Linked DNA regions of Oreochromis niloticus. The protein of the gene in region 4 binds, or shares a complex with, the protein of the main gene of each other region. Links are inferred from orthologs where the notes say so. Each region holds a gene or a part of one and is shown on either strand. Other genes may lie near its edges.

The links.
Region 1: snrnp40 (region 4) and cwc27 share a complex: the UniProt entries of both Homo sapiens proteins name them as parts of the minor spliceosome. The link is inferred for Oreochromis niloticus from reciprocal best matches to the Homo sapiens genes SNRNP40 and CWC27.
Region 2: snrnp40 (region 4) and smx5 share a complex: the UniProt entries of both Homo sapiens proteins name them as parts of the U4/U6-U5 tri-snRNP complex. The link is inferred for Oreochromis niloticus from reciprocal best matches to the Homo sapiens genes SNRNP40 and LSM2.
Region 3: snrnp40 (region 4) and lsm8 share a complex: the UniProt entries of both Homo sapiens proteins name them as parts of the U4/U6-U5 tri-snRNP complex. The link is inferred for Oreochromis niloticus from reciprocal best matches to the Homo sapiens genes SNRNP40 and LSM8.

The regions. Positions count from the first base shown.
Region 1 is NC_031972.2:12,013,609-12,021,443, reverse strand, and holds the start of cwc27 (spliceosome-associated protein CWC27 homolog), read left to right. Parts: upstream 1-4,821; 5' UTR 4,822-5,208; coding exon 5,209-5,250; intron 5,251-5,378; coding exon 5,379-5,475; intron 5,476-5,937; coding exon 5,938-6,050; intron 6,051-6,161; coding exon 6,162-6,305; intron 6,306-6,467; coding exon 6,468-6,566; intron 6,567-6,654; coding exon 6,655-6,758; intron 6,759-7,835. Other genes in the region: ppwd1 (peptidylprolyl isomerase domain and WD repeat-containing protein 1), read right to left, coding at 1,055-1,237, 1,321-1,402, 1,485-1,666, 1,754-1,943, 2,134-2,324, 2,410-2,857, 2,977-3,097, 3,254-3,357 and 2 more. UniProt on the Homo sapiens protein: As part of the spliceosome, plays a role in pre-mRNA splicing. Probable inactive PPIase with no peptidyl-prolyl cis-trans isomerase activity. As a component of the minor spliceosome, involved in the splicing of U12-type introns in pre-mRNAs.
Region 2 is NC_031986.2:32,801,986-32,809,383, reverse strand, and holds smx5 (smx5), read right to left. Parts: upstream 3,016-7,398; 5' UTR 2,898-3,015; coding exon 2,895-2,897; intron 2,710-2,894; coding exon 2,642-2,709; intron 1,477-2,641; coding exon 1,446-1,476; intron 1,350-1,445; coding exon 1,290-1,349; intron 555-1,289; coding exon 429-554; 3' UTR 93-428; downstream 1-92. Other genes in the region: inpp5d (phosphatidylinositol 3,4,5-trisphosphate 5-phosphatase 1), read right to left, coding at 5,071-5,102, 5,197-5,621, 5,750-5,947. UniProt on the Homo sapiens protein: Plays a role in pre-mRNA splicing as component of the U4/U6-U5 tri-snRNP complex that is involved in spliceosome assembly, and as component of the precatalytic spliceosome (spliceosome B complex).
Region 3 is NC_031981.2:20,046,524-20,053,079, reverse strand, and holds lsm8 (LSM8 homolog, U6 small nuclear RNA associated), read right to left. Parts: upstream 2,711-6,556; 5' UTR 2,523-2,710; coding exon 2,492-2,522; intron 1,925-2,491; coding exon 1,884-1,924; intron 1,541-1,883; coding exon 1,413-1,540; intron 890-1,412; coding exon 799-889; 3' UTR 518-798; downstream 1-517. UniProt on the Homo sapiens protein: Plays a role in pre-mRNA splicing as component of the U4/U6-U5 tri-snRNP complex that is involved in spliceosome assembly, and as component of the precatalytic spliceosome (spliceosome B complex).
Region 4 is NC_031985.2:22,356,169-22,364,105, forward strand, and holds the start of snrnp40 (U5 small nuclear ribonucleoprotein 40 kDa protein), read left to right. Parts: upstream 1-4,926; 5' UTR 4,927-5,047; coding exon 5,048-5,158; intron 5,159-7,937. Other genes in the region: zcchc17 (zinc finger CCHC domain-containing protein 17), read right to left, coding at 324-494, 764-900, 1,017-1,117, 1,204-1,295, 1,519-1,619, 3,322-3,460. UniProt on the Homo sapiens protein: Required for pre-mRNA splicing as component of the activated spliceosome. Component of the U5 small nuclear ribonucleoprotein (snRNP) complex and the U4/U6-U5 tri-snRNP complex, building blocks of the spliceosome.

The DNA.
Region 1 (7,835 bases), on a different chromosome or scaffold from region 4:
TGAAGAAAGAATTTACACACCTGATATGTGCAGGTCTTAACCTACACACACCTGATGCACCAGGTCTGTGTAGGCTTCCATTACACTCTGAGTGCCTGACAGTATTCATGTTTACTGTTGCCATGTTACACAGAAAGGGAATGAAACCCAACACTGTGCTTGGTCAATTACATGCAGCATTACAAGATTGTTGACACTGATGCTGTTCCAGGAACGACACCAGACTTTGCTGAATCGTGCATTTTCTGCTGTATCGCAAACGATGTGTTAATATAAATAAAAAATGACTTCATCTGTAGTTATGGTGAAAGGAAAGTGCACAGTAATTTTTAAGGTTTTACATATCAAGATGTAATAAAACATTATCTAGGTGTTATGAGCACTTCGGTAAATACAACCTTTCAACATTTCAAGCAGGTTGAGGTGTGGACTTTGGGTGGGCCATGGAACACCTTGATTGTTTTCTTTTCCAGTCAGAAGTAGGTAGTAGGTTTGCCACTGTGCTTGGGATCATTTGCCTGTTGCACAACTCACTTTCACTTTAGCTGTCAGACAGATGGCTTCACATCTGACTCTAAAATAACTTTGGTTTACACAGAAGTTCACAGTCAAGTCAATGGCTGAAAGATGCCCAAGTCTAACCATCGCCCCACCAATTCCATGTTTAGGAGCTGATGTGAGCGGTTTGTGTTGCCATGCCATTTGGTTTCACCAAACCTGACACAGTGCATTATGACCATAAGTCCTGAGATTTGTTAAATGAATATGAGACAGTGTCATATGTCATATTTTGTTATTCGTCTGAGGTTGTATTGATCTAATTTACCCAATTACCTAAATTATTTTTATTATGACCTGATAAATAAAATCTTAGACCCAATAAAGGGTGTACTTTATACAATCTTCTTTTTACCATAATTCTAATTATAAGTTTGAAATGGTAATGTCACCATCTTACATGTAGCTGTCGTACTTTTTCAGAAAAGTAAATTGAAATCTTATTCACACAATGATAAAATACAGGTCTGAAAGTGGTTTTAGTTGGGCTACTTACAGTGGGTACCACGGTGACAAAAAACTGTGAGCCATTGGTGCCGGGGCCTGCGTTTGCCATGCTAAGTGTGTATGGGCGGTCGTGTCTCAGCGTGGCGTGGAACTCGTCTTCAAACTCCCCTCCCCAGATGCTCTCTCCTCCCATGCCTGTTCCTGTGGGGTCTCCAGTCTGAATCATGAAGCCCTGTCAACGACAAAGAGACAAACACTCAGAGCCGGAATCACACAGTTGATCGCCAAGCTTCATAAAGAAAAAGGACAACGTACCTTGATCACTCTGTGAAATATGTGGCCATTGTAGTATCCATTCCTGCTGTGGACGCAGAAGTTCTCCACAGTTTTGGGGCATCTAAAATCAAAGAGAGGAAAAGTTCTGTTTCTGTCTTCTAAAATGAAAGGAGGAGCCAAAAGCATTCACACTGAGGACTTACTCCACAGGGAAAAGCTTGATGTGGATGTCTCCCATAGTGGTGTGGATGATGGCACTGTCAGACACTCTCTTGGGGCCCTCGGCCTGCGTGGCGGCCATCACCTCTTCCTTTGAGGGCTTCTCGTTAAAGATGTCTCTGTCCGAATCGGCGCTCTTGGTATCCTCTGGTTCTCTCTTCGAAAACTTCAAAAAGAGACGACAAAAAACTTATAGTAAGAAGGGAAAAAAATGTAGCACTGTCACTTTGAAATGAATGCCTTTCTGTCTCACCAAGTAAAAGCGGTTCTTCTTAAAAGCACTACAGAAGATGGTTGGGTCAGGCTCTACGTTCTGTAAGGCAGGGTTGTCAGAAGCTTTCATCTCCACAGTGGGTGCCACTTGCATGGCCTTTGCAACACCCTGGAACAAACTCAGCTGAACCACACGGATGTTCTCTAGCTTCCCAAGGATCCGCACACATCTAGAAAACAAGAAACACAGGGCTCGGGAGTTATATGTCTATATAACTCTGCATGTGAAGTGGTGACGTTATCACTTTTGATTTCATCAGTTTGTATACTACAATTAAAATACTCATTTACATCTCTTAAACATTATTTTATTACGAAACACAACTGTGATTTAGTCTCCACCTTCATTTGTGAGCATACCTGTTGGTTTCCACATTGATGACCTTGATGCCCAGCATGGTCCCATACAGAACAAAGTGGCCAGTCTCATCAAAGATGATGTTTGTCAACCGGATACCATCCACCTTCTCCAGTTCTCTCTCCACAGCCATCCGCCTCCCAAACTCCATGTCAGGAAGCTGCTGTCTCATCTGCTGCAGCTCTGTGAACATCTAACACACATATAGCAGCTGTGATTAGCGTGCAAAATTCATAACGCTAGCAATGATCCAGGCTGAAAGGTGAATGGCAGGTTACCGTTAATGATTCATCAAACACTCGCATTAGTTTTCCTGTTAGGAATCGGAAGATTCTGACTTTCCTATCAGAAGCGATGGTGGCCATCTTCTTCCCATCGGGGGAAAAGGCAAGGCTGGTGGGATAGGTTTTGTGTTTTGCAAATTCATACAAGTCAGTGTCCGTTTTGTATTCCCAATCCACATGTTTGGGGAACTTGAATTCATTTGGAAGGCCCGTCCAGTACTCCAGCATTCCCGCTTTGTCAGCAGACACAATGACTCGAAACTTGGGATTCAGGCGGATTTGGGAAAGCGGTGCGGAGTGCATTTTGTCAAAGACATGGAAGGGGTCATTGCCTCCCCTGCCATCATAGATGAAGATCTTCCCTGTGGACTTTTCTGAGCAGGCTACTGTGCAGATGGCATCTCCAGGATTATAGATCCACTCAGACTGGCCTGGATGAAAGCTACATACAGACAGATCACAGTAGAGAAACCAATCAAATTAAAGGAGAACTTGCACTCCAAATCTATCAGCAGTAAAAACATTATTGTGTCTAGCAAGAAAATTTTCATTTAGACTCACCCCAACTTCAGCATATTGATCATGTCAAAATTGACCACGTCAAATACTTTCATGGCCTGATCATCACCAACCGAACAGAAAAGGGCCCCTTCCGCACTGACCGCAATGCTTTCTATTACACCTGGGCAAAAAGCAAGAACAGTGTTTATACACATCCTTTTCACTCATTAAAGACACGTTATATTATAACATACAATGCACCGGGTCTCCATAACCCCCTCTCAGTCCAGTGCCACTCCGATTGTTAAAAAGAAGTTATCACGAATTAAGTTCATACCGAGATGACTTCGAAAGTGTTTGACAAACTCTATCCCCTCGTCCTCCTTCTTCTTCCAAAATTTGACATGGCCATCCTGGCTGGCAGTGATGATGAAGTCTGTCCTGAAACAGCACAATGTTATGGCGTTATTTCAGCTTCAGCCTACTTTTCCTATCCACATCCCATCTACTGATGGAGTTAGACAATCTTTATTTGAAGTAAAGAGAAAATTTTAAAAATCAGGATTGCGAATATGGATGCATCAAAGTTTTTCTTTGTTTGCCTGTTTTGTTTTGGGGGGTTTTGTCATTCAATTTATGCCAGGGAAACAGATAATAATACAATAATACACTTTCAGGCTAAAAGTGATGAGACCCAACAGATAAATGTTAGCCATTGCTGATGATAAAATGTCCTCTTACACGCTCACAGGTCAACAGCAAACAACACAGCTTATATGAGCTGATGGAACTTCATTGTTATTACAGATACAGCACTCAGTGGCTTTTCAAACAAACAATGAACAAACACAACCAACTAATAACATGTAATACAGCCTGCAAGGTTCCTCTATAAACAGTAAGCTGCAGGAAATTGGCATGACTTGTCACAGGAATGATAGAAAATACATCAATAATAATTATTAAAACGGCTGCCCACTCTTAAATAAAAGAACTACTAAATTCTGTTGCTTCGTTTAGATTTCCCAGGTGATGGTATCATAAACGTCACCATTTTAGGTTGACTTTTTTTTTTACATATTACTTTGGGACAAACATGAATGCTAACAATGGATCAGCACAAAGACAGTCCTGGAATATGAGGTATACTGGTAATACTAATAATTGATAGTTTAGGCATTTTAACATTGGATCGCTTTTATTAAGGTGGTTTAATAAGCTGGATGTAAGTGAGTAGTGCTGTAAAGTGGAAAAGCTTTCTCACACATATAAAGGAAAGTTTCCTTGTAGCTGCTGACTTACTTTGTACAAACTAAGTGTGTGATGACGTCCCTGTGCATATAGCTCCGTTCATACATTGCAGCCGACGGGAGGTTGTCCAGATAGACACGCTCGTACTCGAGTACTGAGAGAAACAAATACACACAGAAGTTAACGGACGGCGTTTGGCGCTTTATTAGCAGTGATTAGAGAGCAGTCGCAAAAAGCTGCCAGTGTGCCGAATGAACACCCAGAATCCCACCTTTTCTTTTCTTTGCCTTTGTGGCTTCGCTTGGCATGGGTCCAACCCACTCGGCATCTTCTTCGTCCCCATCCCCATCATGATCATCATCTACTTTGCGCTTCAGTTCCACATTCTTTTCAGTAGCCGCCATTGCCGTGATCGCCCGTGTGGTCCTTCCGTAAATACGGTACTTCCGTTCAGCGCCTAAATCTCAGATTTTTTGTGTAGTTGTTTTTGTTTCAAGTACAAGTTGCTAAAATTCTACAATTATTAATTATAAACAACATGTTATGTGTCTCACTTTTTCTCAAGAACACATAATTATTAGGATTAATGAGATTACGCTGTAATTACACGGAACTTGTTGTTTCCAGGGGGCAGTTGTGATAGCGCACTAGGAGCGATCCAAAAATCTGTTTCTCGGGGTGAAGTACCGAGCTTGTTTTGGATTGTTTTGTCATCAAAACTCTCGGAGTTTGATTCACGTGCGAATAAAAGTTTTTTATGTATTTTATGAAAACAGAAAAAAAAACAAATTAAGTGATGTTCTTTGAAAAAAACGGAACAGAAAATCAATAATTAAACCGAAACCCCTATGTTCTCGGAAGTAAACAATCAACTCATGTATTGCCAATATGGCTGTAAAGAGTGAAATGTGAAATGTATCACATTTAAAGTTACCTACTGTAACAAACTTTACTATCTGTATATTCGAGGAACCTAAAGTTCAGATCGTGTGAGAATATATTTTTTATTCTGCTAACAAAACACAGAAACGTAGCGGCAGGATGAGCAACATTTACATTCAAGAGCCACCAACAAATGGGAAGGTAAGCGCCAGTTTACAATTTGAACTTTAGGTTTTTCGTGCATAATATTGCGGATTTGTAGGTACCAATAGCTAGCCACTCCTAACACTGTTTAGCTCTGAATGTATAATTTCGTGGTCTTTTCGCAGGTCCTGTTAAAGACAACAGCAGGTGATATTGACATTGAGTTGTGGTCCAAGGAGGCTCCTAAAGCATGCAGGAACTTCGTGCAGCTGTGCATGGAAGGTAAGAATTCACTAAGGAAGTGCAGAAACCACTGGAGAATAACCTCAAATTCAGTTTGCGCTAAATTAGGCCGAATTATTCCAGGCGTGCCCTTAAAATATATTGGTTTGGTAAAACTAGCCTCTTTAAGTATTAGGCCATGATGCGTGTAAGTGTTATATTTTTTATCTTATTTTGAAGATTATTGATGGACTAAAATGTGAAGAAATTTTGAGTCTTAGACATAGTTACTTATATATTTCTTAAATGTTAGCAGTCGTTTTTTTTTTTTTTTGTTCACTTGTAAGCAGAGAAATGGCTGCTGTCAGTGTACATAAGACTTTTTTTTAAATCCCAGAACCTATATTCAGCTGAGCACTGTCTTTATTTAAATGTCCTTGTTGGCTCAGATTTCTTGATTGTTAGTAGGGAACTGTTGTTGCCTTATTGTTTTTTAGTATACAGTATGTCTTGATCTTCTAGGTTATTATGATGGTACAGTGTTCCACAGAGTGGTGCCTGATTTCATCGTTCAGGGGGGAGATCCTACTGGGACAGGGGCAGGTGGAGAGTCCATCTATGGCCGACCGTTCAAGGTGAGAATGCTTTTCTTCTCATTTTATTTTTAATTCTGAAGTGGATTTCTAATTCCTATGTGCAGGTGACACTAAAATACAATGTCTTCTAAACTTTCTGTCGCCTTTCAGGATGAGTTTCACTCTAGGTTGCGCTTCAATCGGAGGGGTTTGGTTGCCATGGCAAATGCAGGGCCACATGACAATGGCAGTCAGTTTTTTCTCACCTTGGGACGTGCAGATGAACTCAACAATAAACATACCATATTTGGCAAGGTAAAGCTGTAAGAACATGATGACTTATTTTCTATCTGTATTCATGAATGAATGCTGTCTTCAATGAATATATGAATATACCAAGATGAGTGCCATTTTCCCCAGGCAGGATGTGATAAGAGTGTGCCTGACCATTTCTATTTTCTGCAATCCCCACTCCAGGTCACTGGAGACACCGTGTATAATATGCTCAGATTAGCAGAAGTTGAGTGTGATGGTGAGGAAAGACCTCTGAATCCTCACAAGATCAAATCTGCTGAGGTATTTTAGTTCATTCTATTTTACCTGCTCAGCAATATGTTTAGTATCTAGCTTCTGTAATTTAAGCTTTTCTTTTTGTCTCTCCTAGGTGTTACATTCTCCGTTTGATGACATCATACCTCGTGAAATAAAGAAACTCAAAAAGGAAAAGGATAAAGAAGAGACGAAGAAATCACAGTCAAAAGCCACAAAGTGAGTGCTCGGCCTTCATCTGTCTTTCTGATTGAAACAAGATCAAGACTGTACCCAGGAGCACCTGCATTTTTGTACATAAGGGAATATATTATGCTCATTTCCTTATCTATATATAGATATTTTCTTGTACTTTACTAGAGTAGCTTTGTATGATTCACAGTACTCATTTGTCTTATACTGAGTCTTATACTGAGCCTTGGTCTATACTTCATCATCTATGTAAAACAGGTTAAACCTTTAAGGCAACCCATTCTATATGCCAACTTTTTTAGCTACCCCCGGTGTTGTTGCTCCTTTAGCTTAGCACCTACCAGAAGACTACAGAGGTCATAGACCACAAAGTTATTCTGAAGTGAAATCGAGTGTTTAAAAACAATGAAAGTGTCCACTGTAGCTGCTGTTTATGCTTCTCATACTGGTCACTGGTGGTCACACTGATTATCTCTTCATCATGGCACATGTTAGTAGGTGAGATATGTTAGACAGAAAATTAACTTTTTCCCCCAATTGATGTTATAAGCAGGAAAGATATGCAGTGGTCAGTGTCATTGGCGGCCAAGGCTCGTTGAGGCGCCTGGGGAGGGACATTTGGCCCGTGTTTCAATCCAACAATCTAGATACTGTAGCTCAAACTGCCAAAAATGTATTGCTGTTTCTGATAGAATCAGAATACACAGTACATTACATTGTTGTGTATGCATAGGCACAGTCCAGTTAGCATGCCCATGCTGACCCCTGTCCACCACAGAAAGTACCAAGCATCAGTATTGAACTACAGAGCAGTGGAAGAAGGTGGCCTGGTCTGATGAATTATGTGGATGTGCATCATTTACCTGTACCTACCATCAGGCCTCTTTCATTTTTCAGCAATGGTTTGAGGACAACAGGCGCAACAATGATTTTTTAAGTGTTGACTTGGCATCCAAATTCTACTTAAAGGATCTGTTGCTTGCATCTTTGTGCCAGATACCATAGCACACCTTCAGGAGTCTTGTGAAGTCAGGGGCCAACACAGAGGGACCAACAAAATATTAGGCAGTTGGCTATAATGCCTGATTGGTGTATGTGCTGTTA
Region 2 (7,398 bases), on a different chromosome or scaffold from region 4:
GAAAAACAGTTCTTCAACAGCAAACCCCAAATCCTCCAACATGTCACCAAGATCATCCTAAAATAATTAATAAATCACAAACGTCATGAAAATATAAATAAAATAATGTTTATTTCCAAGAGGCATAAAAAAAGCCACAATTTGATAAGCAAAGTGTGCCTGTTATCATCAACATGAACATCACAGCAGGTTTCCTCTCTGGACTCTCTGATTAGTTTACTTCTATATAAAACCAAAAAAAGGGATCAAACGACGACGTCCAAACCGTCTTTGAGGTTAAAAAAAACAAAAACTGCTAATGACTGATCCCCAATGTCAAAGACACATTTTCAGAGACAAAGAGAGGCTGCACAAACTTAACCCAAAACCAGAACTACCCATTCATTGTTCTCCTTACCCCCCCACCCCCACCCCGCCCCGCAGCCCCGTCACTGCTTCTGCTGCATGGCTTCTTTCCGTGCAGCGTCCTGCAGCAGCTGAGTGTCCACTTCATCTGCCGGCAGCTGAACGTAACGGACCACCGATCCACGGATGAAGCAGTTTTTCACAGACAGCTGCAGCAAATGAAAACAGTCAGTGTGAAGACAGACAGCCGTCACTCTGTGCTGGAGCTGCTGGTGAGCTTTAAGGAGTGCACATCCAAGGACTTTCCTAATGACTGAACTCGTTTCTGATTTTATGCAACTTTTAAATAAGGAGCTAAAGTTTATAGTTATATTCTTGATGTTGTATTATAAAAATATCCAACTTTTCTTTTTCCTCTTGACCTCAATAAAAACTGAGCAGCAGCAAATGGAGCTCACATACAAGATGAAAACAAAGACTGAAATCTTGAAAGCTTTATGTGTTATAATACATGAAAAACATAATCAATGTAAAAGATATTTATGTAAACATATCTGTATATAAACTCGGGAGGAGCTGTTGTCTGTGTGTCTTTTTTGGGGGATAATTGAGCCCCTAAATATTTATCATGCATCATTCTGTGTGGAAAACAGAAGTCCTGCGTGCACTCTCACCGCTGGAATATTTATCTAATCAAAAGGTTCATCAGGTAGAAGGGCGACATTTCTACATTCTCACATACAGCAGCAGAGAATTTAGTTTCTTTTACTGGTTGTACAGACCTCTGTAGCAGAACCTTAAACCTTGTAAGTACACTGCAACAGCTCTTTTTTCTGTACATTGTAAAACTGTAAACACCTGTTTAGCAGCGACAGCCTCATCTGTTTCTTTAGTCTTTTTTTCCCCTGTATTAAATGTGGAAAGTCTCCAGAAGCAAAACTTACCATGTGTGGATATTTCTCCGGGTCTGTGACGCTGATGTCTGTGAGCTTAATGTTCAGGTACTGAAAGCGATGTGAAAACGGCATTTTAGTGAGCAATCATGCAGAAATGTAAAAGCTGAACAGCTTCCGTTTTAAAACAAATGAATTATTTCCAACCTGGTCAACAGAATGAAGCGTTCCACAGATGCTGAGGAGAGAAACACACATTCATGAACATGACTCTGTTCACAAATACAAACCAAAATTGCTCAATTAATCTTTAGATTATGAGGCTTGGGAACAGCTCATCAGTATTTGGGTGGAATTTACGGTCAGGTGTGCCCAGGTAAAGCAAACGCAACTTCTGAGGTTTTCTTTCTGACCTCAGGATTTCCATGCCACTTATTGATTAATTTATGGATATTTAAACATTTATTTCCACAGGTCTGGGTGGTGAAACAATAAGAATTATCACCAAAATATAATATTTTTAATACATCTATGTTTTGTCCACATCTGCAGTTACTTGCACATATTTTAGAAGCTGTTCTGGAAACGACAGGCATTAGCACAAACCTGTTGTTACATTTTAAAACCGTCACTACTGACAAGCATCAAGACCCTGCTCCAGAGTTTAACCCCGAGACGGGAACAGTTTGACTTAAAGAAAATCTTATTGTAGTTTGTTTGATCTACTCCGTCTATGACATATAAAAGTTGAATTAATCTTAAAACAAATGTAATTATGCGGCTGTGACCTGACAGGCTGCAACCTGGATTCATAATCTTGCTTTAAGCTACATTTAGTCCAGTTTCAATTGAAGTCACTTCAGATTTTATTGAGAAAAACAAAACAAAACACATCTCCAGCAAGAAGTCAACCACGACAATCATTTCATCAGTCATCAGTGTGACCAGTTACAAGAAATAAAACTGTTTCATGCAGATTAGTTCCATTTAAACAGTGACAGCTACAGTAATACGTAATAAATATTTCAGTGCTGAGCTCATAATGAAGACCCAGAGCCCACTGATCGCTGTCTAAGGCCTTTCACTGAACAACCACAGAGTAAAACACACAGGAAATGTTGTTGGCTTGACTTTCTGATAATGTGTATGATTGAGAGTCATCTGTTTGTGTTGGATTATTCTTGCAGAATCCAATAAAACGGAACTAAAGCTGAGAAGTATTAAAAACTGCTGCAATGAAATGAAGTGAAATTCAAATGAAAACTAATAAAAATTAATATTCAAATTGTGACTGTGGGAGCGCTGCTGCGTCTATCAACAAAGCTCCAAACAGCGATCGCCGACCAAACAACACAGGCCGGAAAACGGCAGGTTATGTGAGCGAATTGAACACGAATACTAACCTCAGGTCATTTTTGAGCTCCACCACGACGTCCTTCCCCACCAGCGACTTGAAAAACGAGTAAAAAAGCTGCGGAGCAGAAACACATGCTAACGTTAGCTGCACGGTTAGCGTTGCGGCCGGTTTCTTTTAAAGCTGACAGAATTAAGGTCACAGAGACACACCGAGGTGTGCCCGGGTCAGAGGCTCTCTCCGGCCGTACGTATCTGCTATAAACTCTACAGAAAAGTCATAATTTCATCGTGATTCCTTACCATTCTTACTGCTGCCCTCTCCTAGCCGCGCGTCGCCTGTCGATGACGTAACAACCCCTTAATATTTCTGAGACACACCAGGGTGTAATTACTAAAGTTCGCCACACAGAGGCGACAGAGCTAAGCTCAACGTTCATGTATGGGAAACGTTGCTTGCACAGGTGTTTATCTAATTGACTTAATTTTATTGTGATTTCAAAAAAATAAATAAATAAATAAAAACTTCATATGAAAATATATTTCAATAAAATAAAATAAAATATAATTTAAAGAGACAATAATAAAAAAAGCTTAACACTGTCAGTTGACATTAAAAAAAATTGCTTATGGAAAATACAAACTCTTTTTTTCTGGTGCAACCAAAGACTAAATAAATATGCAGTAACTGTCTGTAATTGAAAACAAAAATTCAATTACAAAGTGACAATGACAAAGTTCAAAGAAAAATACAAAATACATTTTGAAAAAACAAATTTACAGAAATGTAATTACAGGGACTACGGTGGCAGCTGTCTTTGCATTGTGCATTTTTTTTCTGCTACATAAACTAAATAAATATAATTTAAAAGTCATTTTTATTAGAAAGTTCATGTTTTGTTTTGGGTTTTTTAAATTAAGGACCCACACCCTCTCCTAGAAGAAGTCATTTGAAACGTTGGATGCATTTATTATAAACTTCCAACATATAACATGAAAGGTAAGGAAAACCTTCTAATTCTCAAATACTCAGGGTGGAAAACACAGCAACCGCTGGTGTTATATCAGTCATATTTTAAAGTCAACATATGTGTAAAATATATGCAGTGGAGTACATTCACACACTTGGACTTCATCAAAGACTTTGCTCTTCTCTCCTCAGCCAGTTCCAGAAGAGTTACCAACTAAACCAACAGAACTGGCTCGGCTGTTAGCCTCAACATCAACACCAAGAAAACACAGCCAATGTACACCAACACGTCTTCAACCATGTCTATAACTATTGGTGACCTGATGAAAGTTTCGTGTCTTTTGACTGTCTTCCCCAAATATGCAGCATCTTCCAGCCAAACAAATACTCAAACATGGAGCTGCACAGAAGAACTGGGGTGTGTAAACATGTGTCATGAAATAAAGATGAGGAGCTTTAAGGTGTGTAGAACATGTAGTAAGCATGACCCTTTGATGGAAAGAGGAAGAAAGGCAAACGAGAGATGAGTGTGCTGGCTGAGCTACAATAGCCGGGTCTCTCATGGGAACAGGAGCAAAAGCAGAGGCACAAAAGCGAGATGGGTGGAGGTTACAGGCTGCAGCCTTACAACAATGAAGAGGCGTAGCAGTAGAAGCAGTTTGTAGTGAAAGTGCACATCAGGAACTGTGCCACCTCACCTTTTTAGTCACAGCTGATTAAAGAGAAAATGTAGATGTATTTCCAGTAACACCAAGCTAGAAAGGCCCCTTCTCAGACTGCCTGCAGTTCCTTTACGGACCAGCAGATGGAGGCAAATCACTGCAGTGTGACCGGTCTGGTCTTCGCAGCAGATTGCAGCGGCCAACACTCCAAGTTTTAAAAGCAGTCATTTGTGACTTGACATAAAAAAGACATGCACACACACACACAAAACATGTAATTCAAGCTTTAATATTGGAATTCATTGGAGCATCATTTGTACATATTAAAGGCAAACATGTCTGTGCAAGATAATACTGTGCGGTAAACATTCATCAGCTACTGTATAGTGTAAAAACTCCAAATGAAATGTAACAGTTATTTTAGAAGCAGGTTCCAGGTTCAAACTTACGTTCCAATGTGAGCTTTGCAGAAGTCCGAGAAACTAAAAAATGAGTTTACATACATTTGAAGGCTGAGTTAGACACTGGTACGCCCATTTAATGTCTCACTAGCACTTAGATAAGTAGATAACTAAGCTAACTACAAGCCAGTTAGCTTAGCTTAGCATAAAGACTGGAAATAAAGAGGAACTGCTAGCCCGGCTCAGTCTAACTTAAAAAGTGAGTTTTTGAGGATGACAGGCAGATGAATTTTTTAGACCTTTGGACAGGTGCAAAGCTAAGCCAACTGACTGCTCTATAATGACAGCACAGATATGTGATTGTCCTCTAAAATGAGTGACACCAGTAGCAAGGGGTTTTAAAAAATATTTCCAGGAATGCAGCCAGGAAGGTGTACCTCTCAGTCTCACTTCACAGGGCGACCGATCTTGGAAACGTCTGGATGCACAAAAAAAGACAAAGAGATGTCATTTAGTGTATTATAGCTGTCTGGAAACCTGAGGATGTTCCTTGCTGTCTTTGCAAGACTCACCAGGTCTTCCTGGTGGTCTCTGTTTGCTGGTGAGCTCTGAGGTGTCTCTGTAGTCTCTTGGTTTGGGGGTCTGGGGCTCCGGCACACCCGGTCGGGACTTAGCAGGCAAAGGAGGCCGGCTTTGGCCCATCCCGCCTTCTGAGCGTGAGGGCACCACTGGTTTCTTTTGTGATGGGGGATGCAGGCTGACTGGTGTTGGAGGCTGAGGTTTATTCTCAGAGCAGGTGAAGGAGCGGTTGCGTGGGGTGGGCACTGGAGGGCGATCGGTATCTCCGTCTGCTGTTTTGGAGGATCCAAATAGCACATCTGGGGGTATGAGATGGTCCTTCTGTTGTTGGTCTTGGTCTTTAGACCGACCATGTGATTTGGTCACTGAACCATACAACGGGTTGTCAAACATCTCTGATGTCTTTCCGTTCTCACCCCTGTCAGAGAAATCATCGGTTAATGACATTGGTTTCCCTTTCTATAGAATCAGATCAGATAAAGGTTTGGAGGTATTTTTAGAAATGAAACTGAAGTCTCTTCAAACCAGAAAGAGGCTCACACTTACACAGAAGCAGGCTTTCCCGTGGGGCTGCGTGTGCTCACATCGTAACCCTTCTTTGGCTCTTTTCCTGCTTGTCCCCCAGAGGTAACATTTCGCGGTGGCATGCTGTAACTCCAGCCTTTATCTATCACATTCCCGCCTCTGAATGACACTCCCATGTAATTGGGGTTAGAAATATCATGTGGTTGGTTGCTAGAAAACCTGTCAACCAGAACAAAGAAGAAAAAAAAGAAAGAAAAATCACGCCCTGGGTAGTTTTGATGGTCCAAACCAGCAATCAAAATTAATCAGGCAACAGAAAAACTTGAATTGCAGTCTCATAGCTGCGATTTATGCCACCAGCATGACAATGGATTGTCTTGCTTCTCTTAACTTTGATTCATCTTCTCTCCAGAGTATACTCCATCTCTCCAGCATCTCTTCCACCTGCTCCCAGCTCTCACTAAAGATCGCAGTCTCATCTGCAAACATCGCGTATACAACGACCGCCTGACCTCATCTGTCAACCTCTCCATAAACACTGCAAAGAAGAAGGGGCTCAGAGCTGATCTCTGATGTAATCCCACCCCCACCATGAACCCATCAGTGCCACAGTTCCTGTCTTGGCATCCTATCATCAGCCTATCATATTCTCTGATCCGCAAAGGCACAGTGCAGCTCGCCCTGACCTTCTCCATACTTCTCCATCAACATCTTAAAACAAACATCCCATCTGTAGAGCTCTGTCTCAGCCTCTTTTCTTAACTAGCTTCAACAGCTTTCTTATCTTCATGGTATGCCACATCATCTTTATCCCCCTGTAGTCAGAGCTCTGCACGTCACCCTTGTTCTTGAAAATTGGTGCTGGCTAACCTTTTCTCCCTTCCTCGGTCATTCTCTCACTTTGCAGGATGATGTGAAACAATCTGGTGAGAAAGTCCCCTGCCCTCCATCTTCATACCTTCACAGCTATGTCATCGGGACCAGATGGATTTCTTTGTGCTTCATAGCTGCTCTCACTAATGCTCTGCACTTCTTGATTTACCAGCTTTGATCCATCTGCCCTCCTCTCTCTCATGTTTTACAACAATCAGCTCCTTCCATCTTCTCAACACACTCTTTTCATCTGTTAGTATATCTATCCATCTCTGCCTAGCCAATTTATACAAGTCCTTTTGCCCTTCCTTCATGTCCAGACTCATACACACTCACTATAAGCCTTTGCCACCTCTCTCTTTTCTTATCCTCCCTTCTTATACTCCTGTCGACTTTCTTCATCTCCCTGACTTCACAACATTTTTTTCTTTGCTAACCTCTTCATTTGAATACTTTCCTGTACTTCCTCATTCCACCACCATGTCTCCTAGTCCGCTTTCTTCTATCCAAAGGATACGTCCAACACCTTCCTGGAAGTTTCCCTCACTACTTCTTCATTACTCTACTTTTCCAGTCATTTGTAACCCTTCCCTACCACCCAGAGCCCGTCTCAACTGCAGCCTGAACTCTATGCATCATTCTTTCTTCTTCAACTTCCACCATTTAATCCCTAGCCCTGTCTTCACTCATTTCCTCTTCTTGATTTCCAAAGTCATCCTACAGCCACCCATCAGATGCTTGTGAGAAAACAGCAACATATGATGTCCCATACATCGCAAAGATTCAAAAGTATTAAA
Region 3 (6,556 bases), on a different chromosome or scaffold from region 4:
GGTGAGGTCATGGCAGCAGCTTTCACATTGTTCCTACAGGCAGATTAAACTTGTTACCTCAGTTTATCTGGTCTTCAGGTGATTTTATCCAGCTGTTTTTAACCATTAAGCTTTCCTCGCCATGGCCCTCACGTAAAACTTCAGTATTTATCGATCTGTCACTTCATTGATATCAGTGTTACTCACACCTTTAGTGTTCGCGCCATCTTTCCACCATCTATTTCCTCCCCGCTCTCAGACGTGTGACTGATGTAAGGATTCATTTAGAATTGTCATGTTATTGCTGGCTCTGCAGATCTTTCATTTAAATAAAAATCGCTTCTTGAAGAACTGAATCTTGGTTGTGGCATATTTTATCTCAGAAGCTATTCGATTTTTCTCCTTTTCTTCTCAAATTTAAGAATCTAATTTCTTTCTCATAAAGTTTTCACTTTTTCCTCTGATCAATATCCTCTGACTAAAAAATATAATTTGTCAAACATTTTTGTTGAGTAAACAAACAACAAAAACGCTTTTCTTTTTCAGAACACAACAAATTAAACTTTATTTATTAACAGTCTCACATTGACAAAAAGACTTAGGAGCATAAAAAAGTTCCTCTAACATTTTCATCATCTCACTTCTTTATTTATAAAAAGTACAAACAGAAAACAAGAGCCAGGAGTCAGAGACAGGAAGCAGGCGAGCAAGTTATCAGGACGCTCCGGCTCATCCCGGATAATTAGCACACCTGCTCCTAAAACAGACTCCCATAAACTTTATTCACACAACAGTTACGCTATCATCAGGGGTCAAAGGTCAGTGAACGACAGAGTTGAGCGGCTCAGCTCTGATGTTTCCTAAATCCAGAGTGGAGTCCGTCTCCTCATCGATCTCCCCGATCACCGCTCTGTAACCAAAACAAGAAAAAGTGCAACCAAGAAAACAAACGAGGGGATTACAAACAAAAACAAACAAGAAGAACAAATAAAATATGAAAGGAAAACAATAAACAATGATAAACAAATTACATAACAGAACTGTTAACAATATTTAAACATTACATTACATTAAAATAAAACAATGTAACGAATCTATCTATCTATCTATCTATCTATCTATGTAGGTATGGATCCCCACACATCATTTTCCTCCTTGTTTAAGAATAAGAGTCTTTCTCTTGGTTTTCCTTCATAAAAATAATTTTAAACAAACAAACAAACAAACAAAAACAAAACTCTGATAGGGGAGTTTTTTCTTAACTCCTAATTATTAATTACCCCATTTTGCAATAACAAATTATATCTTAATAAAATAATAAAATTGGTAAACCATGTTAATCTGATTTTGTAGATTAAAATTCACATTAAGGCCTTACTAATTTGTTATCTTCAGTATTGATTCATCATCAACAAAGGTCAAACGTGACTTACACATTGTCGCCTCGGACAATGTAGAGTCCCAGCACCACCTGCTCGACCCCCTGACTGGAGCTGAACACTCGCTCATGACTCTCATCCAGGATCAGGTTGATGGTCTGATCAAAGCCCTTCAGAGTGCCCTGAAAAAACAAACTGACATGAATCAATGAGGACACGACTTACAATAACAATAACTTACAATCCAAAATAATTCTGACTTCAGTGAATCCTGATTATTGTGAGTGGTGAAGTTCTGCAGGGCCCACTGCTGTTTAAAATATAAATGAATAACGACTTTAATGCTTTCATTGCTTCCAGGTGCACTTGCTTGTGTATGACACGATTTTAAACACACCAGGCTCTGACCAGTCTTCGGTATGCATTTGTCTCCAATATAATTTAAGAATTGATTAAAAGTTTTTTTTAAAGTGATTTTGATCCCGGGTGATCGTCCAGTAAAGGTAAGGATGTGTTCAGACTCACCACAATCATCCTGCCGTCCGAGGTGACAATGGCCACGGTACCTGGATCAGCACGAGTTAAAGAAACAGCACCTTTATGGACCAAAACCTCTCTAATATTATTCAGAACGTACAAATAAGAACAATTATCATAACACCAAAATTGAAAGCTATGCCGCCCACCCATTCTGTCCACAAGAGGCGCTTGTAACCTTAGCTTCTGTCTGTTAATGAGCTCCAGCTTTAAAACTGTAAGTTGCATGCTTCCAAAATTTAAAAAAAAGAAGAGTTTACAGTTTTTCAAAGTGGTCCAGATGTGATGAGTCCTGATGTGTATGTGTGATCTTAACATGAATCAAACTGTGAAATCATTTACAGAACTTCTCTGATCAGCGGGTCCACATAATACAAACACGGCAATAAAATCCCGAGATTTCCCTCATTTTAAATGTGAAATCTACATTTAAGAAGTCTGAACATGTTTTAACTCAGCTCTGAACAACCCGTTTCTCACAGACATCTCTGAACTGCCGCTAATTAACAAAACAAGTAAGCATGCAGCTAAGCTAACTAGCATTTTTCCATTCATTCAGAGGGTTTGCACATTAGTGGCTAACGGCGGAAGGATACGGTTAATGTAGCTCTCCAACGCAGTGGACATCCTTTGTCCCGGGCTCGGTGTCTATTTATCCAGTGGGGTGGTCGATAAATACTTATAGTGGTAGTCCGGTGACAAAATAAAACCGTGCGCACTCGAACAGCAGCAGTAGCTAACGGCTAACAACACACTGGAGCGCAGACTAGAGCAATCAAACAGTGAGCAGGAACGACAGCAGAGCGCCGAGCGGAAGCGTCACATCCGGTTTGTGTTAGTTCTCAAAAAGAAAACACTAAAAACTGCAAAATTTAAAGAAATAAAAAAAGGTGGGAAAAAATGGGAAATGCAAAAGAAAAAAATGACAAATTTACTAGAAAACATGACAAGTTTATAAGAGAAAAGACACAAAATTATGATACAAATTGGTAAATTTATATGATAAACTATTCTTTTTGACTATTTCTTTAATGACTCTAAAACATCTGAGTTTATTTTCTCGCTTTTCACCCTATCCCTTAATTACTATCTTAAATGATTTTAAATATTTCTTTCCTTCCTATGCTCCATCATAGTTAAGAATCATTTCCTGTTTATTTCAATATATTTTCAGAGCCCTCAGATGCTTCTTTGAATAGTAAAAATATTTATGACTCTTCTGAAATATAAACAAATGTGATCCACAAACAAAATGGACACCGGACGTGATGTCATTTCCTATAACTAGAAAAAAACAAACAAGAAAATTGGTCATTGTTGTATAATTCCTTAAACAATTCTGAAAAACCTAAATTTTTTACAATGATGATTACCCTCAAAAATAATCATTGAAAAGTCCACGTGACAAAGAACATCCTGCACTGCTCTGTTAACTTACTACTAGAAAAGTTCTTTTTTTTTTTACTGTTATGTGGTTCTCACAGGAAAGGATGATTAAAAAATTATGATGATTTTTACCAATATAAGCCATTACCGTATTATTTAACTACCAAATACAATATTAAGCATTTAAAATTAGCTTAACATGGAATAAAACAGTTTTGAGATCTTTGGATAATTTAAGGAAATCTAGTTAATACTCTCTAAATGCATAACTATTACGTACACTTTAATGTAATTTTGAAAAATTAAAATAGTGGTAACCATGAGTGGTAAGATGTATTTGAGGAATTTTCAGCACAGGATAGACAGGCAGGTCATCAAATTTGCTTTTCTTTCTGTCAAAGACATAAAATGAAATATGTATTAAGAAAAAAAAAATCAAACTTGTGAGTGTTGATGTCAGACAACACACAGAGTCCAGTTCTCCCAGCAGGTCTTCATCTTTATTGTTGCTCAGTAATCGTCCATACAAAGGCGGGTGGAGGAGAGCAGTGGAGCCCGACAGGACAAACAACAGGAACGTCATGCTACCAAAGTATTAAATTTGTACAAAAATACTTTACAACATCCCTGTTCCTTTAAAGAAAAATACAGTTTGGTTGGTTGGTGAAGCTACATGGAAACTAATCTGACCCACTATTTCAAATGGCAGTGCAATGCACGTGTGTGTGTGTGTTAGTGTGTGTGTGTGTGTGGTTGTAGGTGGGTGGATGTCTTGCTGAGGTGAATCACTAGAGTGCAAATCCCTGCAATGTTACACACATACACACACACACACCCACACACACTCACACATACAGGCTCTAACAAATACACACCCACACACATGGTAATGTTAATACATGCGCACAAACACAGTGTGTATGGCTTTAGGTCTCACTCATCAAACCCTTGTGAAGCCACACCCCTCAGCCCTGTGGCTTGTTCCCATTGGTGGAGCAGTTCTCTTGGCTGAACCTTAAAACACTAACATCTACGTGTTAGCCCTGAATTCAAGGCATTAGCTCTGTATTAGCAATGTGAACCATTTCCTTAGACCTTGTTAGGTCTCTTTAATCAACCTGTAGCTACTACCTCGCCTAAATGCTAGCCGCAAGCTAAATTATAGTTCATGTTACTCATGTGCTAACATAAACCACAAATCAGTAGAGGCTGACATAAAACTGACATACTCTCTTGTTAGCAGACATTTTTAGCTCCTTGCTCTTATGTTTACCTACAAACCAACCAAGCCCTTGCTATGTTAAGTTGTAACCACACTAGTAAATAAGTGTTGAAAAATTGTACAGCTAACTTACCATCCATGTACTATGTGCAACTAGCCACATGTTATAGTTATGTTAGCTCTAATGCTCTGCATCAACTACCACATGCTAAACTGTAGTTCTATTATCTCCCATGTTAGCTTTTTGCTAACAAGAGAAAAACTTTGTTTTGCAAATGTAAGCCCTATGTTAAAGGTCTGTAAGGGCTGTGCTGGTACTAGCCGTGTGCTAACATAAAAACTTTAGCTTTGGATAGCTCTTTATTCATATGCTAATTAAATTATTTTTATGCTTATTAACTAATAAATATAGCAAGAAATGGGTGTTACATATAGAAAGCCTAATTTTCTTGTTCTATGTGTATAGTCATGTGTTATGGTTAGACTAGCCCTATGCTCAGTGTCTGCTAGATACATACTAATCATATGTTAGTAATGTCCTCAGACCAAGTTAGGCTGCTCACTTGTCAGTTGAATTTGATGTGTGGTATACTGCTTTTGCTAAAATTAGAAACCGTAACTTAGTACTAACCATAAGCTATATTATAGCTCTGTTATCAACATGTAAGTTATGCATTAACATAAGCCAAAAATCAGTAAGAGATTTTCAATGAAGCTAAAATACCCTTATGTTAGCATTGTCTGTATTACGTAAACCCTGTGTTCAGCATCTGCTGGTCATATGCTAAAATGTATTTCTATTATCTGTTATGTTAGCCTAATGCAAATAAGAAAAAAGTCTTTATTTAACACATTAGCCTGATTTTAACAATGGGCACGAGCTGTGCTTAACTGTGTCCTGACATACAATAGGATGTTACGATAAATGTTAGCCTTGGCTAGCTGTTTAAATATATGCCAACCAAGTTCTTTCTTTGTGATTAGCCAATAAACATAATAATAAATGGATATCAAACACAACCAGCCTATGGTCCTTGTGTTATGTCTGTTATGATTACGCTAGCCCTTTGTTCAGTGTCTGCTAGCCATATGATAGTTATGTCCTTAGATCAAGTTAGCCTACTCAGGTGTCAGTGGAATACCACCAATAGAGCTGTTTCAGCCTTTTTATAGTCAAGATGCTAAAAGACATTCTTTAGCTCTACAGCTAACCATACCTTAGTGAAGTGCAAGGTTTGTGCTAACAATACACAGACTGTGCTGGTACTGGGCTAGCTGTGTGCTAACATAAAAAAATGTTGGCTAAATTTTATCTTTGGTTAGCGGTTTTTACCCATGTGCTTACAAGTCTCTTGCTATGTTTATTAGCTAGTAAACATAGTTAGGATAGTAGTTCCCTTGTACTGTGTATATAATTATGGTTACACTAGCCCTGTGCTCTGCGTCTGCTAGCTTAATGCTAACTACATACTAGCCATTTGCTTGCAAAAAAAAAAAACCCATCTGAGCATTTAGAAAATTTTGGGTAGAACAGAACAGCCAATGACAACTATCCACATAGAAACAGCCAATCAGAACGCTCTAATCCAAAGCACAGCAGCAACTATTGGACTGTTTGGCTCAGGGATGCTGAGGGAGGGTTCTGATTGGCCACTATAAATAGTGAGTTAAGACTAAGGTGAGAGCAGGAAGATGTTGACATCACTCGAAAATAAACACTCACTCACTCTCTCTCAGACACACACACACACACACACACACACAAGTGTTTACCGTCACAGGTTTCCTGTTTTAACAGGATTTTTTTCTTTTGTAACATAGTTTTTGTGATTATGAGATGGTGTTTTCAGGGTTTGATGGTTTTTGATGTGAACAGCGATGGGGACTGAACTTTTTTTTTTTTAAATCTATTTTACATATTTTCTGGTTCAGTCACCATGGAAACAAACAAACAAACAGAATTGACAACAGTCAATCAAAAAAACACACCAATTGATTAGCATAAGAGATCACTGTCACTGGGGCTGGGGATGGGGAGGGGAAGTCGGGGTAG
Region 4 (7,937 bases):
CTTCTTCTTTTTTACGCTCTCGCTTGTGTTTAATGGATTTCCCAGAGCATCAGATCCTGAACAGCTGTAAACAATATTGGGGTTTTGGAAAGGGATAGCCACTTGCCGCCATATCGATTGCACCTATCTGATTACACCGTGTGTGCAGACTCCTCCCTTTATGGAGGGGATAACTTCAGGACAAGTGGAGGTTATCACATGTTTATATTTACAGCGCTTCCCTTCAAGTTTTGAACTTGACAGATAGTGAATGAAGGTTTAGATATTAAAGCTGGAAGTCTTTCTCTCAGTCTGCTGCCAACCACTTTCCCCCTGTGTGTGTCTCAGCTGTGTTTGTGCGATTTGTGCTTTTTGTGTCTCTTCTTCTTCTTGTCGTCTCTGTCACGCTCATGTTCTTGTCGCCTCCTCTTGGATTTACATTCACTGCTGCTGCTGCTGTCGCTCTCAGACTCCTTCCTCTCCCTCTTCTTACTCTTCTTCTTTGCTTTCTTTTCCTGGAGAATAAGCGTTAAAAACAAAGAAGTTGCACAAAAAAGCAGTTTCAATACCTAAAAACCCAAACACTGAAGTATGTTCCTCTTAAATCAGCACAAAATCATTTTTCCAGGCAACAGACTTCCAATGTGGTCACAACAGCATGTCATGCAGAGAGACATGTGGGGGTTGTTGCATCAGATGAAAGAGAAAGAGAGAATCAGCAAAGGAAAGTTAGAGCGGAAAAGGAAGCGAGAGCTGTGCAGGGCTTTAAAGGTCACATCGTCACCTTCTTTTTCTTCTTTTTGTCTGAATCTTGATTTTGTGCAGCTGTAGATGGTTGCTGCTCTGGCTCTTTATCGTCCTCTTCAGGCAAGAGAGCGTACTGCAGGCCAGGAGCAGAGAAACAGTCCTTTGTAAAGTGACCTGAAGAGAGTAATAATTTATTTAAGAACCGCGGTGTGAATTCAAGCAAATCAGCCATCTGTGTGAAACAAGCACAGTCTCTTTGACACATCACACTACTCATGATGTCACCTCACCCTTGCAGCCGCACTTTGAACACGTTGTGTTGAGCACAGCCTCCAGCGTGATCCTGTTGCTGGTTTGGTCTCTAAACTGCTTACGCCGCCTTGAATCCTGCCTATAAACACACACAGAGACGTTAACAACACACACACACCTGTGCAGACACATGAAAACACACAAAATGAATCCGTAAGCACTTACTCTGCCATAACATTGTTGGGGTCCAAGTCCCGCCCTGTTCCCTGATTGACGGCTTTCATGGAGAAAGACAGCTTCACCTTGTCACCCTGAATCTAATGAGCAGAGGAAGAAGCTGTAAACTTTCTGCTCAGTGTGTGTACTTCTGTGACTATCTTTATGAGAACCAGGTTGTATTTGAGACCACTGGAGTGGCAGTTTCTGACACCCTTTCATGTTTAAGGGTAAAGACGGGCTTTTAATGTAGCCTTTCTGGGGTTTGAAGCTGAAGAATACCTTCATTTAATGAATGTTGTCCAAAACGTGTGATATTGTTACCTCTCTCCCTATGACTTTAATCCACACATGTTCTCCCACATCCACAATTTCTGAAGCGCTCTCAACCCGGGAAGCTGACATCTCACTCACATGTACCAGACCTGTGAAAACAAAGGACAAAGCTCATTTACTTAGATATCACCTAAAATACATTTATAGTTTCAAAAGTCTTAAGCAAACCCTCATGTCTTTATATTTGGAACCAGACTTTCTTTCGTAATTTTTAAAACGGTCAAGAGCAACAGTTCTTCAGCCCTTTCTGAAGGCCAAATGCCACATTACACAAGAAGTGGATTGAAAATCAGTTGCAACAGGTCTTATTGAGTTATGAATCCAAAATTATTATTATTTTTTTTTGCTCATATCGTTGTCAGTATGTACAGAGGAGGTCATGAGAGAAGTACAAGAGTGTCTACAGCCATCTGTAAAACATGATACCAATGCAGCAAAAGCACACCTAGATAGGAAAACTTATAATGCAACACCATCAGTCATGGATTAGCCTCCCATGAGCTCAGATTTCAGCATTATTGAAACAGTGTGGGATCATCTTTACAGAGAATGGAACAAACAGCAGCCAACATCCAAAGAAGGACTTTGAATGTCCTTCAAAAAGCCTGGAGAACTATTCCTGAAGACTACCTAAAGAAATTACAAGAAAGTTAGGTAAGAGAGTTAAGGCTGTTTTGAAATATAAACGTGGTTATAACAAATATTAACTTTTGAGCTCATTAGAATACAAACTCTGTATTTCCATTCATGTTTGCACAGGTTTGAATAAATCACTGCACCCATTTTTCTCTTTCCCAGCAAAATATAAAGAAATAAGGAGTGCCTCAAGACTTTTGTACAGCACTTTATGGTCAGCATTAATGACCTACAGAAAAGGTTGACACATGAATACGTGTTGGATGACAAATGAAAACCCAAATACTAAATTAAGAATCAAACTTATTTCCGGCTGTTATCAAGCTTCAAAAACATTTGACCAACTAAATCATATAACTGTGGCTTAATCATTACATCTACTTCAAACCACTTTAACTGACTCACTTCAAAGGGAGTGTAATTTAAATGAAGCAAACAAGTTCTGTCCAAAACATTTTTTTAGGCTACAGGTTATTAAAGTGTGAGCACAAGTTGTTCAGTTCGCCCTCCAGTGGTGAAAATGAACAGCTGCTGTTTAACTGGACATGTAGGTCAAGGCCAAGCCACAATAAATCATACTTCATTATCAAAGAGGTAACCCAAGTGTAAATATAGATACGAGTCATCCCACTTCATCAACGTGTCCCACTTCTTATCAACCCCGCCCAAACCCATCCTCCCACACCTCCTGTCTGTACACACACATCTTCAATTTCTGTTGCTATGAAGATAACACAAATGAATTATAATAGAAGAAACTATGATTGTACTAATAAACCAAAAAGAAAAAAAAAGATTTAAACATAACAACAATGTGAAATGTCTTACTTTGACCTGTGTCTTTGAAGTCTTCCGGCCTTGTCTTCTTACTCACAGTGAGACAGTACACTAATTCAATTCAATTCAATTCAATTCAATTTTATTTATATAGCACCAAATCATACCAGCAGTCACCTCAAGGTACTTTGTATTGTGAAGTAAAGACGCTACAATAATAGACAGAAACCCCAATAATCAAATGACACATTAAGAGCAAGCATTTGGCACCAGTGGGAAGAAATCCCCAGCAGAGATCTCCAGACAAAACAACACTTTTTTTTTTTTCTTTCTCCTTTAACCTATTTTTCATCTGAATAATCAAATGTTTTCACTGACCTTCCTTCCTGTATCCTGGCAGTCGGACAAATGCTCCATAAGTTTGCACTGAAACCACCTCTCCTTTGGCAATGCTGTACAGTGGTGGCAAACCATCCAGCCCAGCCGGCTCTGATGTTCGGCGGTCACGGTCGGACATCGTCTCAAAACAGCCACGGTTACCAATAACTGAATCTTGCACTTGGATTCCCACAATCCCTGAAATGGCAGATCAGGTGCATTTATGATCTCTGTTTTAATCTTAGTGAGTTTAAACTCTGTTCGCTCAGAATAAACTAATTCTAATTTTCCAAAAGTTGAATCTGTTCATCTGGACGTAGCGTTTTGTGGGAGAAACGTTTCGTCACTCATCCAAGTGACTTCTTCAGTCTCAGCTGACCTGCAAACAAATTCTAATTTGTTTATTTGTAGGTCACATTCTTACATGGCGGGTACTTTTGCATTGTATTTGAATTTATACATCAGTTTTCTAGTCTTTATGACCACTTTAAACTACAAGCACGCTTTAACTATACATTCATGCAGCACTTTTAAGCACTTTATTCACCTCACAACCACAGCCAATTTAGAATCACATAACATGTATGTCTTTGGAGTGTGGCCAGAAGCCCAAGTACCTAGAGGAAACTTGACACCAAAAGGCCACTGCCAGGTTCTTTCCTGGTGTAAAGGCAACGGTTCTCACTACCCCATGATGATGGCATCCTATTTCAGATCTTGTGTCTGTGCCAAGGCACCCTCTGACCTCTGTATGACCTCAATATATGAATACTTCTATGCCGATTTATTATTCCATGAATGGAATGTACCATTTTAAAATTCCCTAAAACCAACATTTTCTGTTATTTAAACCACACTGGTGGATCTAAAATCCATCTGAATAGATACGACCTAGAACAGCCTCATTGTACAACACTATGAATTTTTAAACATTTTCATTTTCGTGTATTTTGGGTCACTTTAGGAAAAGTCATGAAATTTCATGCTAAAACAAAGACATATTTTTTTTTACTGAAGTCAAATGTCAACACAGTTCATTTGACCCTAACAGTATTCAAAGGCTAAATCTAAAAAGAGATTTTATTATGTGCACTGATTATTTTACCCCCACTTTAAACTCGCATGCTGACTTGCTATTCAGCCGTGTCATATTTTTGTACCTGAAAGTGATTTTTATGAGCTTCACAGCTGTGTTGAATCTCTTGGATAGCAATAAAAACCTATTAGACTCACTTTTTATCTCAAACACAAAAACTGAATGGAACAGCAGCTCCTCGGCTAATGTTAGCCACACTAAAGAGCTATAATAAATGAATAAACAGATATTGAATAAATAAAATATGAACAAGAAAATAGGCCCGCGCCTGCTTAACGTTCTAGTTTATACAAATAAATAAACATAACGTCATGCAGCAATAATTTAAGAGAAAATAATTTAAAAATGATATCAGCGTTACCTTTCGGATTGATACGATGGTTATTTTACATCCGGTTCAAAACGTTTCAACAACAAGCGAAGCGGCTAATCTGCTGCTCACAATCAGCCAATCATCTTAGCCTTTGCAAACCTCGACCAATAGTATTCCTCGCACTCACAGGAAGTACTTCTTCTGTGTTGATACGTTGGTGCTACTTCCTCCGACGTCTCGTATGAAAGACGTCCATTCATTTTTTGTAAATTGTAGCATTAAAGCTTTAGATTTTTGCGGATTTTTGTCCTGTAAAGATGATTGAGCCTATGAAGAGAGCGGCAGACATGGCGGTGGTTCCTTCCGCCGTGAAGCGGCCCCGGACGGAGCTGATAGCGGCGGCGCAGTCTCAGCAACTCGTGGCCACGGTACGGAGGGTAGCTGTTACTACAACCGAGAGGGGTGGCTACTGAAGTAGACTCAAACATTTAGAACAAGTAACCACACTATACTGTGTACGCTTTATGATTAATTATATATAAAGCCGCTTGGAAAAAAGTCACATTTTCCCTTTGTGGTGATTTTAGATTCATTATCTGGGCTGCCAGCGAGACAGATAAACATGAAAATAAAATTAGCACAGCATTAGCGCTCACTTTGATGCTTTTTACAATGTCTCCTACACCCAGCTGGATTTGGGTAAACTATTGTTGTTTAAAAAGAGTTTTTAAAGTGATCACAAAACATGTTCTTTTGTATTCTGGTTTAATGTTTTATCTTTTAAGGATAGAAACCCTCTCAGCACCATTGATAACACCAGCTCCAAAATAATGGGGGTCAGGCAAAGAGATTTGTGTTCACACTGAGAAACTCGGGTGATAAAGAAAGTAAAAGACATTATTAACTATCTTGACCACCATTTCTATTCTGAATTCAGGAAGTTACTCCCAGGTAACCCCTACTTTATATGTCAGTGTAGAACAAATAGATACTTAAAGTCTTTTATTCCTTTGGCTGTTAAATCACTTAACTCTGACATTTCGACTATTCAAGATGGGGCTAGGATTATGTCAGAGTTCGGCTCTGAACCCCTTTCTCGTTTGCAGTCTTGATGGACAGGCTGAAAGATGAGGCCAGGCAGGAGTCTCAGTAGACTATGATGTCTGCAGCCGATCTGTAGTGAGAGGAGGGAGCAGGGCGAAGACAGCCTGGTGAGGTGGAAGTATGTGGTGGAGAGAAGAGGAATGAAAGTCAGAAGACACAAAACAGAACACGTGTGTGAATGAGAGGGAGACACATCAAATTCCAGTCTGATGGGAGGTGTAACAGTGAAGGTATATGAGTTTACATAAATGGAATCAAACATCCAAAGCAACGCAAAGCATTAGAGAGGGGAAGAAGAGAGTGCAGCCAGGATGGAGTCGATGGATTGTGGAAGAACAGCAGCAGGAGGAAAAGGGAAGATGGCAATGAGACCTGCTGTATGTATGGTTTGGATGGTAGATGATGGCACTGAGAAATTGAAAACGCTCAGATTTACATTGGGAAGGACCAGAATGGACAATATTAAAGATGGTTGCATCAGAGGGACATTGCAGATTGAGTGGTTAGAGAGGGAGCTGAGATGGTTTGGACATGTGCAGAGGAGGGATAGTGGACACAATGAACAAAGGATGTTGAAGATGGAGGAAATAAGGAAGACCTCAGAGAAGATTCACTGATGTAGTGAAGGATGTCATGCAGAGGGTTGGTGTGACAGAGGAGGATGCTTGGGATGGAGTGAGATGGAGGCAGATGATCTTTGCAGATCGTCTTTATTCGCATTAAAACACCGGCATTGCATTAAATATGACCTTGACATTTGTTTTTGAGACTATTATAAAAAAAAAACAACACTTTGACCCACTTTCACAGTCCATATCTGATTTTATAATAAATTATAAATACAAGCTAAAAATGTCCAGTATGATTAAACCGGATAAGTTACCTGAATATTTATAAACAAGATATTCAAACCTTTAATCGTCTGCCTCCAGATGTATCAGTTCTTTCTCCAGTGCTTCTACCCTCCCAGGTCACCTGCCAGGACGCGTTTCTATACCAACAGCTGCCTTTGCATCCCGGCTTTTGTTCCCACAAAGAAAACTGATCAGGAATCAAGAAAGAATTGATAACGGTAGCCTCTCCGATACTATTTTTTTAGAACGAGGATGTAGACAGGGGTGTCCAGCAAGCCCTTACCTCTTCAACTTGTTTATCGAACCTCTAGCCCAGGCTATACGTCAGGAAACATCGTTGAAAGGGATTGTAATAGGAGGGGACGAGTACAAGGTGTGTTTATACGCAGATGATGTCTTGGTAACAATCACGGATCCCAGCTCAGGTATACCAGTATTAATGGGGATGTTGGAAACATATGGCCTGTATTCAGGGTATGTTCTTAATGTCAAAAAAACTCAAGTTCTGACATTTAATTTTTCTCCAGACCAGACATTATTGTCAAAATTCAAGTTTAATTGGAAGGCAACTGCTATCAAATATTTAGGAGTGTTTCTGCCTAAAGATCTAACACAACTGTATGATATTAATTACAGTCGTATTAATAGAGAAATATATAGCGATCTCAACATTTGGGCCTTGCTCCCTCTTGACCTTGGCAACAGGATACAGATAATTAAAATGAGTATTCTTCCCAAACTACTCTATCTTTTCCTTGCTTTACCTATTCAAATTCCAGAGAAGCAGTTCAGGGAATGGAATAAACAGATTTCGAGATTCATTTGGCTTAACAAAAGACCAAGGGTGAAGTTCTCTACTTTGCAGTTGCCGAAAGAAAAAGGGGGCTTGGCTCTACCTTCATTAAGGGATTACTACTTATCTGCTCAGCTGAGGTCTTTGGTGTGTTGGTGTAATCCATCTTTTTGTGCGAGGTGGAAGGCGATTGAGATGTCTCTTTCGGACACGCCAATCCAGTCTAGACTTGGTCACACAGCTTCTGAATTGGACGGTACCTTGACGCCCAGCCAATGGGTCACTTTTACATTAAAAATATGGAGGGGAGTGGTCAAGCAGGCACAACTACAGGAAGAGATAAAACTTCTGAGGTGGCCAGCGTATGACCCTGATTTTTTACCTGCTTCCCACGATAGTAGATTTAAACAATGGGTGTGCCATGGAATTACTGCTAGGTGTTCGGTTATTGTAAAA